Linked DNA regions of Tribolium castaneum. The protein of the gene in region 1 purifies or fractionates together with the protein of each later gene. This does not show direct contact. Links are inferred from orthologs where the notes say so. Each region holds a gene or a part of one and is shown on either strand. Other genes may lie near its edges.

Region 1 (8,885 bases):
GTTAAATTAACGCGTCTAAATTAACGCCACATTTTTAAACAAACAACCGTTGAAAAACACCTATTTTAAACAAATCACGTGCTTATAATAAGGTAAATTTAGATATTGCTAGCAATTTAGCTTGATACTTTTTTTAACAAAACAAATGGTTGAATAAGATAGTTCAAAGTATCAAATTTAGTGAATTATACTTCGAAAACACGCTCTGCATCTTTAGGTTTTCACTTTCCACGTTGTAGTATGCAATTTTTTGCGTCAGAATTTTGAGAGTTTCTCGTTAAAAAACATTAATAAATCTGTAGAAAAAAACAATGTTATATGTAACTATGCTTATTTCTACTTTGTTTTGACGAAATCTTTCGAATTAGTGAGTGATAAAGCTCGTTCAAGTCCAATTTTGTAGTTATTTTTCTTTTAACAAAATTTCTGTTCAAGATACCTAAACCCATAGAAAAAAAAAGATACTTCTTATCGATTTCTATGTAATTTTGAACTTTGTAAGTTGACAAGATTTCTAAAATTTTATTTTGTGAACGAAAATGCTCTAATTTTGAAATTTTTTGCGTTATGTTAATGGAATCCCTAGAATTTGAAGTTTCTCGTTAACGGGACGTACTGCAACATTTATGGAAAATAAATTACTCTAAATAAATATAAAAACAGGTGAAAATAAACTGTGTATGGTAGCGCTCAGCTCCGTTTGCGTGTGCGTCATCTGACATTTCTGTCACTACGTTTACATAGCAGGGGCATAGCGGTGACAAACTATCAAATATTTTTTGAGGTTACGAAGTGTTTAAACTATGAGTTGTTACAAAAAATACAGATTCACAAAACAAGAACTAATAAACACAGAATCAAAAACCTAACGAAACGCAAATCACAAAACACAATAAACGAACGGAAAATACTTGCGATTAACACCGATAACACTTTCGACAACCATACGACGACGTCTATAATTTACTGTCAATGTCAGTTTGACAAATTCGTGACACTTGACGGTGTTGTCGAAGTGCACATGTACATTAATGTTCAAGGATACCACCCTTAGATAGCCCTTAGCTGTTTAAATTTGCATTGTTTTTGATAATTTTTTATAGCTTTGTGTTGGTAATGAAAAAATGAGATTGATGACGCACACGCAAATCGAGGTGACCGCCACTATATAAGCCCAGTTTTTTCATTATTTCCTATGTCTTGACATAATTTCCCGTTAAATAAATTATTTTACTTTGACTTGGCAAATCTATTAACTTGTAAACCCACATTTGGAGTAAATTTTACAATTGTCTACTTGGTATTGGTGAAATTTCTTGAATTTAGAGCATTTCTTCGTAAACCAATTCATAAAACGAGTCCAATTTTGGATTCATGACCAAGAACAAAATTAATAGTCCACCATGAAACTTACTTGTTGATCGAAAGCCACCGTGCTCTTGAACGCCTTCCTCATGTGGATATCCTGCAAAGAGACCTCCTCGACGGTGCTGTCCAATTGTGTGACTTTGATAGCGAGTCTGTCGATTCTCGCTTGCAGTGAATTCGATCTGTCGTAGAGTTGTTGGGCATCTCTGGCCAATTCTCCGAATAAATCTTCGGCATGTTTTGAGAGTGAGGAAAGTTGTCGTACGGTATTCGCTAAAGTTCCGTTGGTGACGGCTTCCAATTCGGACACTAGAGGAAAATCCTCTGGAAGTGTGCCTCTGGCCACGTGGACCGGTTCGATCACCCTCTTTGGCAGAGGCATGGTTGTTTAGTGTTCACTAGAAACGAGAGATAAACATGATGGAAGGGTTTTGTGAGGTGCTGAATGCTAATGTCAAGATTCAATTGGAATGTTTCAAGTGCGATAAAATGATCAATTTACACAAATGAAAAGGTTACATAGAAAGAGATACTCACGATTTTGACCGTATTCGTAAAATCGAATCATTTTGTAAAAATTTTGAAACAATGTTACCATTTCGCGAACAGAAAATTACATTTTAATGAGAGTTTTTAGTTGAAAATAATCAATATTTTCACTTAAATTTATATCATCGGTGTTATCACTAAACTATGTCATTTCATTTATCTCTTGTTTACATTTTGCTGTAAGTAATTTTTCCTGTAGATATCTTTTTAGCAATTTCGGTCTTGGGTTGTCTGTTCAAATTACATTTCCCTATATAGACTAATGTTAAAATTTAGTAAAGGCCTGTATTTCAGTACAATGAAAAAAAATGACGTTAGAATAACGTCGCATTTCTTGGTTAAGCATATTTTTATTGAAAACCATTAATATAAAATATAAAAGGTGTGTGTGTAATTTTGGTAAAAAAAGGTGACAAAAGAATACAATGTAAGTTTAGCTTCCAATTTAATTTAATTTTAATTTTAATTCAAACTGTTTTTTTTTAAATGGGCACGTGGTCCCTACCTTAATTAATTTCTTACAATGTTAAGAAAAAATCGATATTTAAATTCAACCGCAACTTTATCGCTTAACTGTGGCAAACTGTAACAGTATATACGAGTTTTATAAGACGTCCTATTGTGACACGAATGGTTTTGGAGCACGACGAAGGAGTGTAATATACTATTTTTTCTACTTTCTATTTTTGTTGTTTGTTTTTTTTTTGTTGAATTTATCAAAATCTGTTCAAACTATTTCCTCTTAATGTTGTTAATTATTCAGGCTTTATCAATAAACGACTTGACGCTTTAGACAGATTACACACTAAATTACAGTTATGACTGATGACACCCAGTCCAGCACATCCAACAGAACTATCTACTAAAAGTAATTGCATAAAAGTTTTCTTTGTGAAACCACTTTCGGTTTCACAATGAACATTTTGTAAAACCATAATAGTAGTACTATTTTCAATCAGAAACGCATTTTTTAATGTGATTTCGTCAAAAATACACCGCAAAATTATTAAAATAAGTCAAAGTTTGTTACTTTTGCTTTTTTTCGAAAACTTTAGATTTTTGTTTTTTGGCAAAAAATTCATATTGTTTCAAAAGATTAGTTACTTAATCCGAAATAACTCTGAAAAACAATTATTAACGAAATTTTGTCAAAAATAAGCCAAAAGCCTTTAAAACACCTCAAAATTGGCATATCTTTCCAATATAAATCATGGAAATTAAAAAAAAAGAAAAAAATCGTCTTATTTTTGTTTTTTTGAGTTTTTAAAACGTTTGGAAACGTTTATTTTGCAAGGTTTTGCTGAAACCGGCCAAAAAACACAAAATTATCTTGAAAATGATTCCATTTTCACTTTTTTACGGCGTTTTTCACATAGAAATGCTTTATTTTGCAAAATTTCCAAAATAAAGCCAAAAAATCATTGATACAGTTCAAAATTAGTGTAATGTTTGTTTTTTTTAGCGTTTTGGATCTTTTTAGAGCAAGATTTAGATGAATCATATTAAAAAACGTAATGATTTTGCGCTAGAAACCAGAAAAATAATGAAACCAAATCGAAAATTTCGTTATATTTGTTTTGAAACGTTTCTAAATTTAGTTTTTTTTCAAAGATTTTGCTAAAGCGGGTCTAAACAATACAAATTTAAATCTAAAATGACTATTTTTGCAGATCGAAATCAGTGTTCGCATATTCTTTTAGCATGTTAGATCGTTTTTAAGCTAAACACTTAGCTTTTTTGTGAGATCTTGTCAATAGAAATCACAGACATTTGGAAATCAAGTCAAAAATTGTAATGGGTGCTTTGCTTTTAAAACGTTTCTAAATTCAGCTTTTCTAATGAAATGGGTCAAAAAATGAATAATTTAACTTGAAAATTACTTTTTTTGCTTTTTGGGATGTTTTTTATTGTGGAACGCATCAAATATGTCATAATTAGTGTTATTCTTGCTTTTTTAATCGTTTTATTACACAATAATTTGGTTGTCTATTTTATTTTTGTAAAAAAAATCGTCAAAAAATAAAATGTTAATGTTAATTTTTTCAGAAAAAATTTGGTTATAATCAATATTTAACGTAAGTTACAGAAGATTAGAAGATGTTCATAAAATTTTCAGGGCTCCCCTGACTACAGTTTCATTTAGACGCTTTCTAATAGATTAGATTTTGCAAAAATTTTGTGTATGGCTTTAATCCTTTAATCATACTTATTGGGACAAATAAATAAAAAAAGGGGTGTGGTATTATTTAATGAAAAATAATTTTGCAAAAATCGATTTTCAATTTCTTCTGTTGATTACATTCAAAACTTTTGGCAGTGTTTTGAAATCATTTAAATGCTCATAAAGAATATGAATCAATTGGTTGTTCCCTAGATGTGATAAAAACTTGTGTGACAAGACATGTGTGTAGAGTAGATATGAATATGGAACACCTAAATACACCTGAAAAATATTACAACCATGATTCATCAAAATACTATTAACACTTCAGACCTTGGGAGTATTATTCCTGTTTTAAGTATTTACACTAGATAAAGCAGTACATTTTTGAGAGAATTTCGACGTAAATTTTTATCAGGGAAGCCACTCCCTTAAGTTCTAAACTGAATAATATCCTAATTTTTGAGAAAATAGTTATTTAAAATTTAATTAGAAGAATATCACATTTCCATCGAAGGTCATCAATAATATGTCGTTATGCCGATATAAAAATACAGTATTTATAATAAAATAACCATTAAATGTAAAATGAATGATTTTTTGCAAATTAGTTAGAAAAAATTGCGTTTTTGACCTCGTTTTTTTGTTTTCAATTCATTTATTACAGAAACATCGATTTTTAACAATTCTCACTTTAGTAAACAATTATCATAACTGATTAGCGTGATTTAATTTTAAGTATTCCTTCACCTTTCCCAAATGTAGTAGACCTTTGTGTTATTGTTATTTTAGGGGTTGAAGGACGAAAAAATCAGTAACTATGACGACAACCAATCCAATTATTGGATTTCTCATTTCTAATAATAAGTGCCCTTTAAATTTTAACAGAATCACACGTGATTACATCAATTCCGTTTAAAAAATGCAATCGTTCACCAATTGAACTTTGAAACGCACCGCTACAGAAGTGAAAACTAAACCGTTTCAACATTTCTTGAAGAAAAAAGGTTAAATCTCTGTTTCCCGTTTTCGTCACCATATGTTACCGCTTTATGGAAATAAATAAATTAGTGCATGACGTGCGAAAGACATCTGTGAAGGTTATTAACCGCCAATTAATAAACTAAAGCGTGGCAGGAAGTGCCCCAAACTGGCTTCGCTCTCATCAATACTGTCTCCAACAAGGAAGTGAGTCATTAGGGGGCCACATACGCCCCATTTAACAAATATGAGCAAACACAAGCTGCAAGGTCAAGTCATTTGTCGCAATTACGCGAACAGACACCGCAAACGGCCAGATTTTGGGGCAATTTCTCGCAGAAAATGTCAAATAGAAAGGGGAAAGGCCAACTAGCAGGAGTCGAGATTTCCGCCCATTTCTTACCTCGGCATGGTCTGGGACACTCACTGGGGGGCGCAAACGTTGCCACACATGTTTTTGCACACACGACACTAATTGTTTCGTTAAAAACGGCGATAATTTAATAAATATCGCAGAAAATGGCGAAGCGGTACACCCAACAAACACGATTGAGCAGGACTGCCACACCCACGGAGCGAAAATCACCAACAGCAGCGGCGTCGCGTCAATCAATATTGCGGCCACTTTGGGGATAAAATAAATAAAATTGGGGCGTGCGAGGGAAAACCCTCATTTTAATACATTTTTGTGCGAATGAGGGTGTCATTGCTCGACACTTGATGTTTATTTGGGGGAATTACCAGTGGCGTGCGGAACGTACTGGGGATTTTTGTGTTGGCAACGTTATGTAATAAAAAACTGTTTTTCTTAAATTATTATATTTATAAAATAATAGTAATTTTTGTATTAAGTGCGCGAAATGAGTGTTTTTTTAATGGCGCCTGAGAATGTTATTTTAGTCGAGACCGCCAGGTCGAGACCTAAAAGACATTCGAAGGCGCCATTAAAACATGAATTTCGCCACGAAATACAAACAACGTTTTTTCTACAGCCTCCAGATGAAGAAAAAAGTAACAGAAATTAGTTGGAACAAAATGGTCTGATAAATCGAGTTGCTTGCATGGTTACGATGATAAATAAAAGTGATAGTTGCGAAAAATTTGTCACAATAGGTATTTTTGTTGAAGAAGTGTGATGGATTTTAGCAGCGAAAACGAAATAGATGCAATTGCAAGCGCGGCAGTGTCGAATCTTTTGCCTGCTAAATCAAGACCGCAGTACGAAAAAACGTATCTTCAGTTTCGGCAGTGGTGTTCTATGAAAAAGATTGATCAAGTAACGGAAAATGTTTTGTTGGCGTATTTGGAAGAAAAGTCTACCACCTTAAAGCCACCAACACTCTGGGCCCTTTATGCGATGTTGAAAGCCACCTTAAACGTTAAAGAGAATATCGATACACGTAAGTTTCCGAAGTTAGTGCCCTACCTGAAAAGCAAAAGCGTAGGTTACAGAAGCAAGAAGTCGCAAATTTTAGACAAAGAAGACATTAGCAAGTTTATTAATGAAGCAGATGACAAGATATATTTACTGATGAAGGTAAACTTATCATATTAGTGTAATACAAATCAAAACAACTCGTTTTATTTATAGACTGTGCTAATTTTGGGTATATCGGGAGCCCTTCGACGTGAAGAATTAGTTAAAATGAAGCTAACTGACATAGAAGATAAACAGTCTGTCTTAATTGTGAAGGTGCCTGATACAAAAACCCACTGCGAACGAATATTTACTGTTTCAAATTTAGAAAATATAGAAATTGTCAGAAAATATAGAGCTTTGCGGCCTCCACGGGCGACTAGTGACCGTTTATTTTTAAAGTATACCAACGGAAAATGTGTGAATCAAAATGTTGGAATTAACAAAATCGGAGAGATACCAAGTTTGATTGCAAAGTGGCTTAACAAAGACGAACCTAAAAAATATACTGGTCACTGCTTCAGAAGAAGCTCTGCCACTCTTTTGGCGAATGCTGGAGGTGATCTAATTTCAATTAAACGTCATGGGGGCTGGAGAAGCAGCACAGTGGCAGAAAGTTACATCGAGGACTCTTTGAATAATAAAATTGAAATTGCCAATAAAATTCAACCTTCTTCCTCCACAGAAGAAAACAAAATCACTCAACCTTCTACATCGGCTTCTTTTAATGGCGAAAATAACTTTCATTTACAAGCGTCTTCACTCAGGCCTCTGGGGATAAACGGGGGCACGTTTTCGTCATGCACATTTAATTTTCATATGTCAAAGTAAATATCTATTATTATTGTTTTGTAATATTGTTCTGTATAATTATAAAACCTTTAAAACTACCTCTCATTATCGATCCGTCTCTTCATTTCGGTTGCTGTTGATGTCTTTTCGTGTTACTAAAATTGTAACAGAAATAAGTTGGAACAAAATGATCTGAAAAATCGAGTTGCCTGCACAGTTAAAAAATATTATTTTTTCACTGTGAAACCGTGAAAAAATAATATTTTTTCACAGTGAAAAAACGTCAAACTTCGCGCATAGGTAACCATGCATAAATGTCACGATTTTTTGACGGCTGTAGAAAAAAATAAATAGACATTGCAAATGGTTAATAACATTGAGTAAAATATAAAACTATAAAACATTAATTAATTACTTGTTCCGGATAAAACAAACCCTGTTGTGTTTTGAACTGTAACATACAGGGTAGCAAACTTTTTTGAGTATTTTTGCTTTAGATTAGTATTTAAAAAACGCTATGCAATATGCAGCTTTACTTAAAAAAAGACACTTAACGTGCATACATCAACATCGACGCAACAGTCTATAGTACGGTTAATTTAATAACAAATTGCCTCTAGAAAAACAAAACTATTCTTAAGCATCACAATTCACAACGAATCCAGATTCATTTTCAATGATACAAGAAAGTTCTCTATTGAGTATTCGTCAAGTTACGATATCAATACTTGAATTGATACTGGGTTAGTATCAAATTTGACTTGTATGACTATACGAATCAAATTTCCAATATACTATACTATAATACAAAATTGCAACAATTTTACTAGAGATACATAGTATCAACTTATTGATTAATAATTATATTGACATGATAAAAACAGAGGGGTTGACACCACATTCCTTTGAAAGCGTTATTCCTACTTAGTAACTAGGATACGGATTCCGTCAAAGACAAAAGTATGGACATCGGCATATTTGGCAGATTTAGTGTCAGATTACTGTCAAGTTGACACTAAAATATCCATTTATGACAAGGAACATTTTCAAAGTCAAATAAATGTTCCTGTTCTTAATGATCTATTAGCGCCACCAGATGGCGAGTTGAACAATGAATTAAATAAAACAGTGAGAACAACTCAAACTAAAAAATCAGACAGGTAGAGCATTAAATTCACCATTGTAAGAGTAATGGTAATACAAAAAATATCGAAAATTACATTAAAAAAAGCACATCGCCTCATATTTTCAAAAAACTGCGAGTAGGGTTAAAGAAATAAGAAAATTTAAGAACATTAAAAAAATCCGCGAAAGCATGTTTTTGCCTTATATTAAACGAATTAGGTCGGTTTAGTTGTTCAAAAATTGGAAAATTAATTTAAGCCTAAACTGTTGAAGATAGTTATGGTGTTGCGTCGCAAATACTTTGCAGGAAATTTAATTCGCTACAACTTAGTTCGTTACACTTTTTAAAGCACTTATTAAATAATGTATGTCTATTAGAATTTTTTTTGACAATCACTTCATCAAGCACTTTTACAGTTTCTACCTAATTCGAATAAACTTTTGACGAATTATTCGAATTAATCGTATTTCTGAGTAAAAACTGACTGACCA
Region 2 (7,108 bases), on another chromosome or scaffold:
TGGACTTCTTGCAACTTTTTGTCAATCAATAATAACTAAAATTACAATTTTAGCCCAATTTTGTGATTTAATTAAAGTCTTACCATTCCTTTACTTAAAAGAAACAAAACTCGAGTGTAACAAGCATTCGAGATGTGGGCATAATCCACCCCAACACCCAGCAGACTACTGGCCAACTGGTAGTCTTTCTCAGTTGCGTGAATTTGCTATAATTTTACAATTAAAATAGTTCTGCCAAATTGTATAATTAATTACCGCAAGCTGGAAAATTAGCCTGCAATGCCAGTAAACATTATGTTGCGACAACTCGATCGCTTTCCTCAAAATGGGCTTAGACAGCGAAATTTGCTGCTGTTGTTCGTACAATTCGGCCAAAACGCTCGCCGCTTCGAATTTAACATCGTCAAAGGTGTTGATCATTTGTGACAACAACCACTGAATTCAATCACGTCCAAATGAGTGTTAAATCAAGGGGCGCACTTACCGCTTGTTCCAAGTGGTTTTTCGCCAAGTCCGTGTTCTTGGTATGGGTCAAAAGTATGTTTCCGAGTTGTAAATGAGTGCGAGCTTCGACCCGCGGCGGTGGTTTAAAATTAAACACAGCCTGGAGGCACTGGATGCAGAGCTTGATCATAGGGGGGCTCGAGGTGCGGAAATGCTCGGCTAGCCCCAGGAGGGACAGGTACCAAGCGTCTTGGGACGAAGCCATCGCGAGGGATTGATTATTTTACACAAAATTCGCACCCAAACATGGTTTTTGCGCAAAATTGAAATATTTTGGGTCGACTGTCAAGCCAAACGCCAAACACCACACATGGGCGAAAATGCGGCGGTCGGGTCCGCATAAGGTCGAAAACTCCAACTCCCATTCATTGATTATTCTAATTAATCAACTTATTGATTATTTCAGTTGATTAGTTTATTGAATATTGCATTAAAAACTTTTTTCCTGCTTTTTATTTTTTTATTTTTGACGAAAAACACGGGTTTAGGTGTGTTTGGCCGACTAGATTTTTCGGTCTTATGGTGATAAATGTCAATGTCCGAATTGGGTTTATAGGTTAGAGTATATAAAATAAATTTCGTAAAAATAGGTGTTTTATTGCAAAACGATGGCCCTCACGGTGGAACAATGTGATATCTTACTCGAGTAAGACCAGTTCAATTTTGGCGCCCTTTTAATTCAGTTTTTGTAGTATTTTGGGTGAGACAAAGGTGAGAACCCACACTTTAGAAAGCCTTTCGAACGAGTTGCACAAAAAATTCGACTCTTGTGACTATTTTAAAGGTAAAAACCGCTATTTGATTACCCAAATAACTGTTTTTTTCAGTCGGAACTTGTCTGGTAATGATGCTTCAGCAAGATCTGTTGAAAGAGCCTGAGCAAAAACTTGTTGCTATAACGCTTCTGTATGAGTTATATCGGGGCGAAGCTCTGGCAAACACCCCTTTTGCCAACGTTTTCAACCACCTTTTGGTTTGTAATCACAGAAATTTAGTAATTGTAACATAGAAATTATCCTAGCACCCCCCGGAACACCAGAGTAGTGTCGGGTCCCCCAAACAGGAATATCCAGGCCAACTACCCAAACTGACACCACCAGAAAAACAATTCTTAACGCAACTGTTATCAGATGTGCCCAAAGATGCTGTAAGATTATCCAGGGCCTCCCCTGATAGGAAATTACTAAACGATTTTTTTTCTTCAAGATTTTGAAAAAAACAGCCACGCAAATAATCAATTCAGACGTTGGGAATACGCAAACAAATTTCGATTTTTCCGTTGTACAATTACTACTAGCCGAAAAACAGTCTGAATTGCCACACACTTGCAAAACAGGAATTCCTGTAGTTTTATCACTGCCTGAAAAAACTAACAATTATACGACAGAACGGAACGATTATGCAGCCCTTGTGAAAACTATAGCAACCGGTGATAACGCCCCCATTAATAAAGTGTACAAACCGGAATTTGTGACACTAGCACCGCCTTTGCTCAACACAGATGATGAAGTAAGGTTACATAATACAGCTTCTTTGTTTAATGCTATGGAGACGAAGGGAAATTTCCATTAATCAAGGAAGCTGTGATAATTTATTACTACCCTTGATTGTGTTTTTTAAGATGGTGTGGCTAAATCCGACAAACATCAAAGAACACACTGTAGCATATGACGTGACGATGTGTGTGCCTGACACAGCAGGCCAGGAGGCGAGACAATTGATGAACAAGGCGTACAAATCAGCGCTGTCTTTGCAACAGCAGCAACAACTGCTAGGCGAGCTGGAAAACGACTCAAAACTTGTGTACCACATTGGTTTGACTCCGTCCAAAGTATGAATCGAAATTTGGTGATTTTCGCTGATTTGAGTGCTTGCAGTTGCCCGAACTGGTGGAAAATAATCCACTTATCGCGATTGAAGTTTTGCTCAAGCTTATGCAATCGAAACAAATAACGGAATATTTCAGCGTTCTTGTCAACATGGAAATGTCGCTGCATTCCATGGAAGTGGTAAATCGGCTCACAACGACCGTGGATTTGCCCACAGAGTTTGTCCACTTGTACATTTCGAATTGCATATCGACTTGTGAGACTATCAAGGACCGTTATATGCAAAATCGGCTGGTTCGACTGGTTTGTGTGTTTCTCCAGTCGCTCATTCGCAACAAAATAATCAACGTCCAGGAGTTGTTTATCGAAGTTCAGGCGTTTTGTATCGAGTTTAGTCGCATTCGCGAAGCTGCCGCTTTGTTCAGGCTATTGAAACAGTTGGAGTCGGGGGAACAGATCGGACTTGTCTCCTCGCCAACGATAATGAAAGCAAAGCTCGAGGGTTGATTATTTAATGGAACTGTATCGTACAATGTGGCAGGCCGTGCTGTAATTTATCGACGATTTTTTCCCTCTCTTTGACGTACGGCAGATCGGCCAGAATCAGCTCTTTTAAGTTATTCAACGCGTTGAGGTGACTCAGCCCCGGCTCTGTTATATTCAAACACTCGGTGATTTGTAAATAAAGTAATGAGTTTTTTAAAACCGACAGCCCTTTCAACGCCTCATTCTCCAGATAGTAGCACTTGTGGAAAATGATTTTCCGGATGTGTTCGCACCCCACGAAATGGTCAAACCCGTAGTGCATTATGCTGGCTTCAGACGCGTTCACTTCCACGATGTGTAACCTAATCCTGTCGCTCGGCAGTTTGTTATAGTCTGTGAGAAACTCGTTGCAGTGCTCCCACTTGACGTGGGCCCCGTTCCGCAACAGCCACTCGGCACAAGACCTGTCAGGCCCCACTTGTTTCCGTCGTTCGTCGTCCACGCGGTTGAAGACGATGTTCAGCCAGTGGAAGAGGGTGCGCGTGTGGGGGATGAGCGGCCTTTGGAGGTGGCTGAGGCGAGTGAGGAGCATCTTATGTCAAGGTTTCCCCTTTGGTGACCTTCAGTTTATTTGTAAATAAAGCGCAGTGTTATGTAAATGAGACTTACACAAGCTTCCAAATAGTCGATCTTTCGCTCGAGAGTTGTCAACTTTTCGTTTAAAACGGCGAGTTTTGATCGACAAGATAAGTCTAAAAATAATTTTTGCGAGGTGTCAACAGTAAGGGGAAACTTACCGAAAGAATTGAGGAAATCGGTGATCTTTTTTATGCTGACGGTTATCACTTCGATGTATTCGCGGTTTACCCAGTCTTGTTGGATGGGCTTGGGGACTGTCTCTCCTCTAGGAGCAGCCATTTCCGCAAAAATACCGAAATTGTTGGTTACTTTTTAGGGAGTTTCAGTTTTTGCTTGACACTCTAACCCTCTCTCTTATTCTATGCTCTAACCTCGAAAAAGTTTCAAACAAGCTCGCTATTTTCGTAATTTAATTAAACAAATATTTTTTTTAATTAAATACTAAGTGCAAATGATTCGTTTTGTACGCTTTTGGTTATTTTCGAGTCTAGCTAATAAGTGGCAAAAAGTGCATTTGTAGGTTAGGCTTTTCCAAACAAGTTATTGTTTTGAGTGAATCATGAAAGACTCAAAATTAGTGTTGAAGGAGGCACGAGATGCCATCAAAAACAAGAATTATGAAACTGCCTTGAAACTATGCAAGGTAGGTGAAATTTTTATTATTTATAAGGTGTAGGGGTTGGTAAAACTGTCATAATTTACACTAAAAATTAAAAATTATCCGGTTACAAATTTCTAAAAAAACTTTGAAATCTGTTACCAATTGAAATAATCATTTGCGATCATTTCGAAATTTTGTTGCTAAATAGTCGGAGTTATCCGTTTTTTTTTTGTAGAAATTAACTTAATAAAATTAATAAAAGCATTGGCAATTTAAAATACTTTTATGTGTTCACTATTTTCTGATGAATCCAATCATTGTTTGATTCATTGTTTTTTTCTTTTTTTTCTTTGGACTGCACCTTTGTAGCAATTAGTTGCATAAGCGTTATCTTTAATTATGTTTGTTAGTGTGTGCGATTGTATTTTTGCAGCAAATACTGAAAGAAGAAAAGAACAATTACATGGCCCTTGTCTTCCTGGGAGTCTCATTACAGGAAACCGGTCAAAACGCCAAAGCTTTGAAAGCTTTCCAGGAGGCAATCGAAGCAAACCCTTCAAATCCCTTGGCTTGGAACGGTCTTATAAATTATTACGAAAAAATCGACACTAAAGAAACTAAACTTGATTTAATTAATGCTTACATTTCGCTAATTGGCATTGAAACGTAATTGATTTTAAATTATTTGGCATGAGATAATTAGCCTTTTCAGAGGCGAGAAAAAAATCCTCGAATGTGTCCAAAAACTGGCAAATTTGTGCGAATTCGGCGACTTGGCTAAAATCGTAACAGCGATTTTTTCAGTCCTGAAAGAGGGCAAGTGTGACAGTGCGGAATGTGCAGTTTGTTTGATTAATATTTTATCAAAAATTGAAAATCTCGCACCGGATTTGGTCCCAATTGTATGATTTTAAATCGTAATTTTGCAAATTAAACCAATTTTTTAGTACGAAGAAACGTTAAAACTCGCCTTAAACAACCAAAAAACCGTATGTACGAAATATTTCAGCGATTATTTAAACCTGTTGTATAAGCAAGACAAAGCGGGTGAATTATTACAACAGGCGAAAAAAATGCACGAAATGTTTGAATCAGACTGGATTTCTTTGCGTTGGATTTGTAAGATTTTCAATGAGGTTTACGTCGAGTCCGGCACTTTGATCGAATCGGTCGAAAACATGGCCAATTACAGCGAAAGTCTCTCTAAATTGGAGGCACCTTCAGCTACGGGTCTATTCACCCAAAGCATTTTACTAGTTGAACAGAAAAAAATTATCGAAGCGAAAGATGTTTTAGAGCAAGTTGTGGGGGTTTTACCCGGGTTGGTACACGCGTGGGTACTTTTGCTAAAATGTTGTATGCAACTCCTGTTGTACGACGAAGCCATAAATGCGGCAAACAAACTCGAGAAACTGTTACAAAATAAGAAGATTTTGAAGAAAAGTGTTAATGTTTTGATGGTTGAGGTTTTGTCCCGGTCGGAGGAGGAGGCCGACCTTCGCAAAGCGTTACAATTATTTGAAAATGTTTGTCTATTATTAGTACTACTTTTTTTCAATTGCAATTTCTAGATTGAAACTGAGGTGAAATCTGCGTGCAATCAACACTTGATTCGTGCAAACATCAATCTAAAAAAATTCACCGAAGCTAAATCGTTACTCCAAGAATTCAATTCTACTGATAAAACACACATTTTGCTCAAAGCCCAGTTGCTCCACAAGCAGGAAAAATTTTCCGAAGCTCTGGAAATTCTAGAAAGGGAAAATTGCGAGTCTTGTGAATGGTGGCTCGAAATCGGTTCGCTTTATTGGGATTGTGGCCACTTTGACAAAAGTCTGATCCCATTTTTGAAGGTTTCACCCAACGTTTAATAAACGGGACATAATCGTAATTTTCAGGCCACCAAATTGGACCCAAATAACTACAAGTGTTTCCTGTTTTTGGGCCATTTCTACAAGAGAAACAACGACTTTGATAAAGCTAGACGATGTTACGAGAAAGCTTTCAAAATTAATAAGCGATGTGCGGAGGCCGGGATCGAACTAAGCAAAATCTACCGCAAGTTAAAAAATTGGGTATGTAACAAATGAGACGACGCTAGAGCTAAAGCGTTATCTTTGACACTTAGCTGCTAGGTAACAACATAAATTTGAACAATTGGAGTAATCGTTACCGTAGCAACGCCCTATTAAACATTCTTACTTACATAGATTTCATTTTTTTAAGGACGCCAACTTGAACTTGTTACAAGCCCTCACAAGTGGAATAATTAACGCTAAAAATTCCTGGGCTTGGATGCAGCTAGGGCTACACCACTTGGAACAATTAGATTACGATAAAGCCGTTACGAACTTGCGATTCGTCATACGAATTGACGAAAACAATGCGTATTTTTCCACACTTGTGTTAACAAACTCGAAAAATTCAATTTTAGTCACTGCTGGGAATCCCTGGCTGACGCCTACTTGGCCAAAGGTGCCTACACTTCCGCTTTGAAATGTTACGAGAAAACGTCGAGTTTGGTGTCGGAAGCGTGGTATCCGATGTTACAAAAAGGGCACATTAAGCAGATTTTGGGCGAATTTGCCGAAGCGCGGCTCGAGTTTGAGGAAATTTTAAAATTTAACAAGTTTTACGTCCCGGCTTTGAAAGGCATGGCTGAGACTTGTCTGCTTCAAGCGAGGCATTGTTACAAGGATCAGAGACTGGGGACGAGTCGGGACCATGCTCAGGTGGCCACCGATCACTTGATTCGGGCTCTGAGCCAACGTGGCGACCTCTCGTGTTTGTGGAAATTGTTAGGGAACGGGTGTTTGTTCGTGGCCAATTTACCTGAAAAACATTCGTGTCTTTTGATTGCGAAAAAGTTCGTTGAAGGGAGGGACGTTGTGGGTGATACGGTTCTAGAGAAAAGTGATTTATTCGCGTTGGCTGCGCGCTGTTTTTTCAAAAGTTTGGGTCTAGTTGAGGATAATTTTTTGATTTGGCACGATTTGGCCGTTTGTTATTTATCGCACGGGCTTAGTAGCGGTTCAAGCGAGTTAATTAC

The links. The genes of interacting proteins can lie anywhere in the genome.
Region 2: the proteins of SCAR (region 1) and HSPC300 purify together in Drosophila melanogaster (affinity purification with western blotting; 4 studies listed by BioGRID, with this or other methods). This does not show direct contact. The link is inferred for Tribolium castaneum from reciprocal best matches to the Drosophila melanogaster genes SCAR and HSPC300.

What each region holds. Positions count from the first base shown.
Region 1 is NC_087399.1:10,148,686-10,157,570, forward strand, and holds the start of SCAR (actin-binding protein WASF3), read right to left. Parts: upstream 5,623-8,885; 5' UTR 5,463-5,622; intron 2,046-5,462; exon of another isoform or gene 1,906-2,045; intron 1,767-1,905; 5' UTR 1,751-1,766; coding exon 1,415-1,750; intron 1-1,414. Other genes in the region: uncharacterized protein LOC107398411, read left to right, coding at 6,195-6,596, 6,651-7,307.
Region 2 is NC_087396.1:20,955,236-20,962,343, forward strand, and holds HSPC300 (probable protein BRICK1-B), read right to left. Parts: upstream 3,754-7,108; 5' UTR 3,738-3,753; coding exon 3,617-3,737; intron 3,572-3,616; coding exon 3,489-3,571; intron 3,440-3,488; coding exon 3,413-3,439; 3' UTR 3,412-3,412; downstream 1-3,411. Other genes in the region: MAU2 chromatid cohesion factor homolog, read right to left, coding at 1-35, 84-206, 256-435, 485-709; Not11 (CCR4-NOT transcription complex subunit 11), read left to right, coding at 1,113-1,150, 1,197-1,288, 1,332-1,477, 1,526-1,651, 1,711-2,013, 2,126-2,335, 2,382-2,840; ATP synthase subunit s, mitochondrial, read right to left, coding at 2,845-3,411; superkiller complex protein 3, read left to right, coding at 4,018-4,101, 4,493-4,725, 4,772-4,961, 5,007-5,585, 5,631-5,912, 5,958-6,134, 6,286-6,446, 6,494-7,108.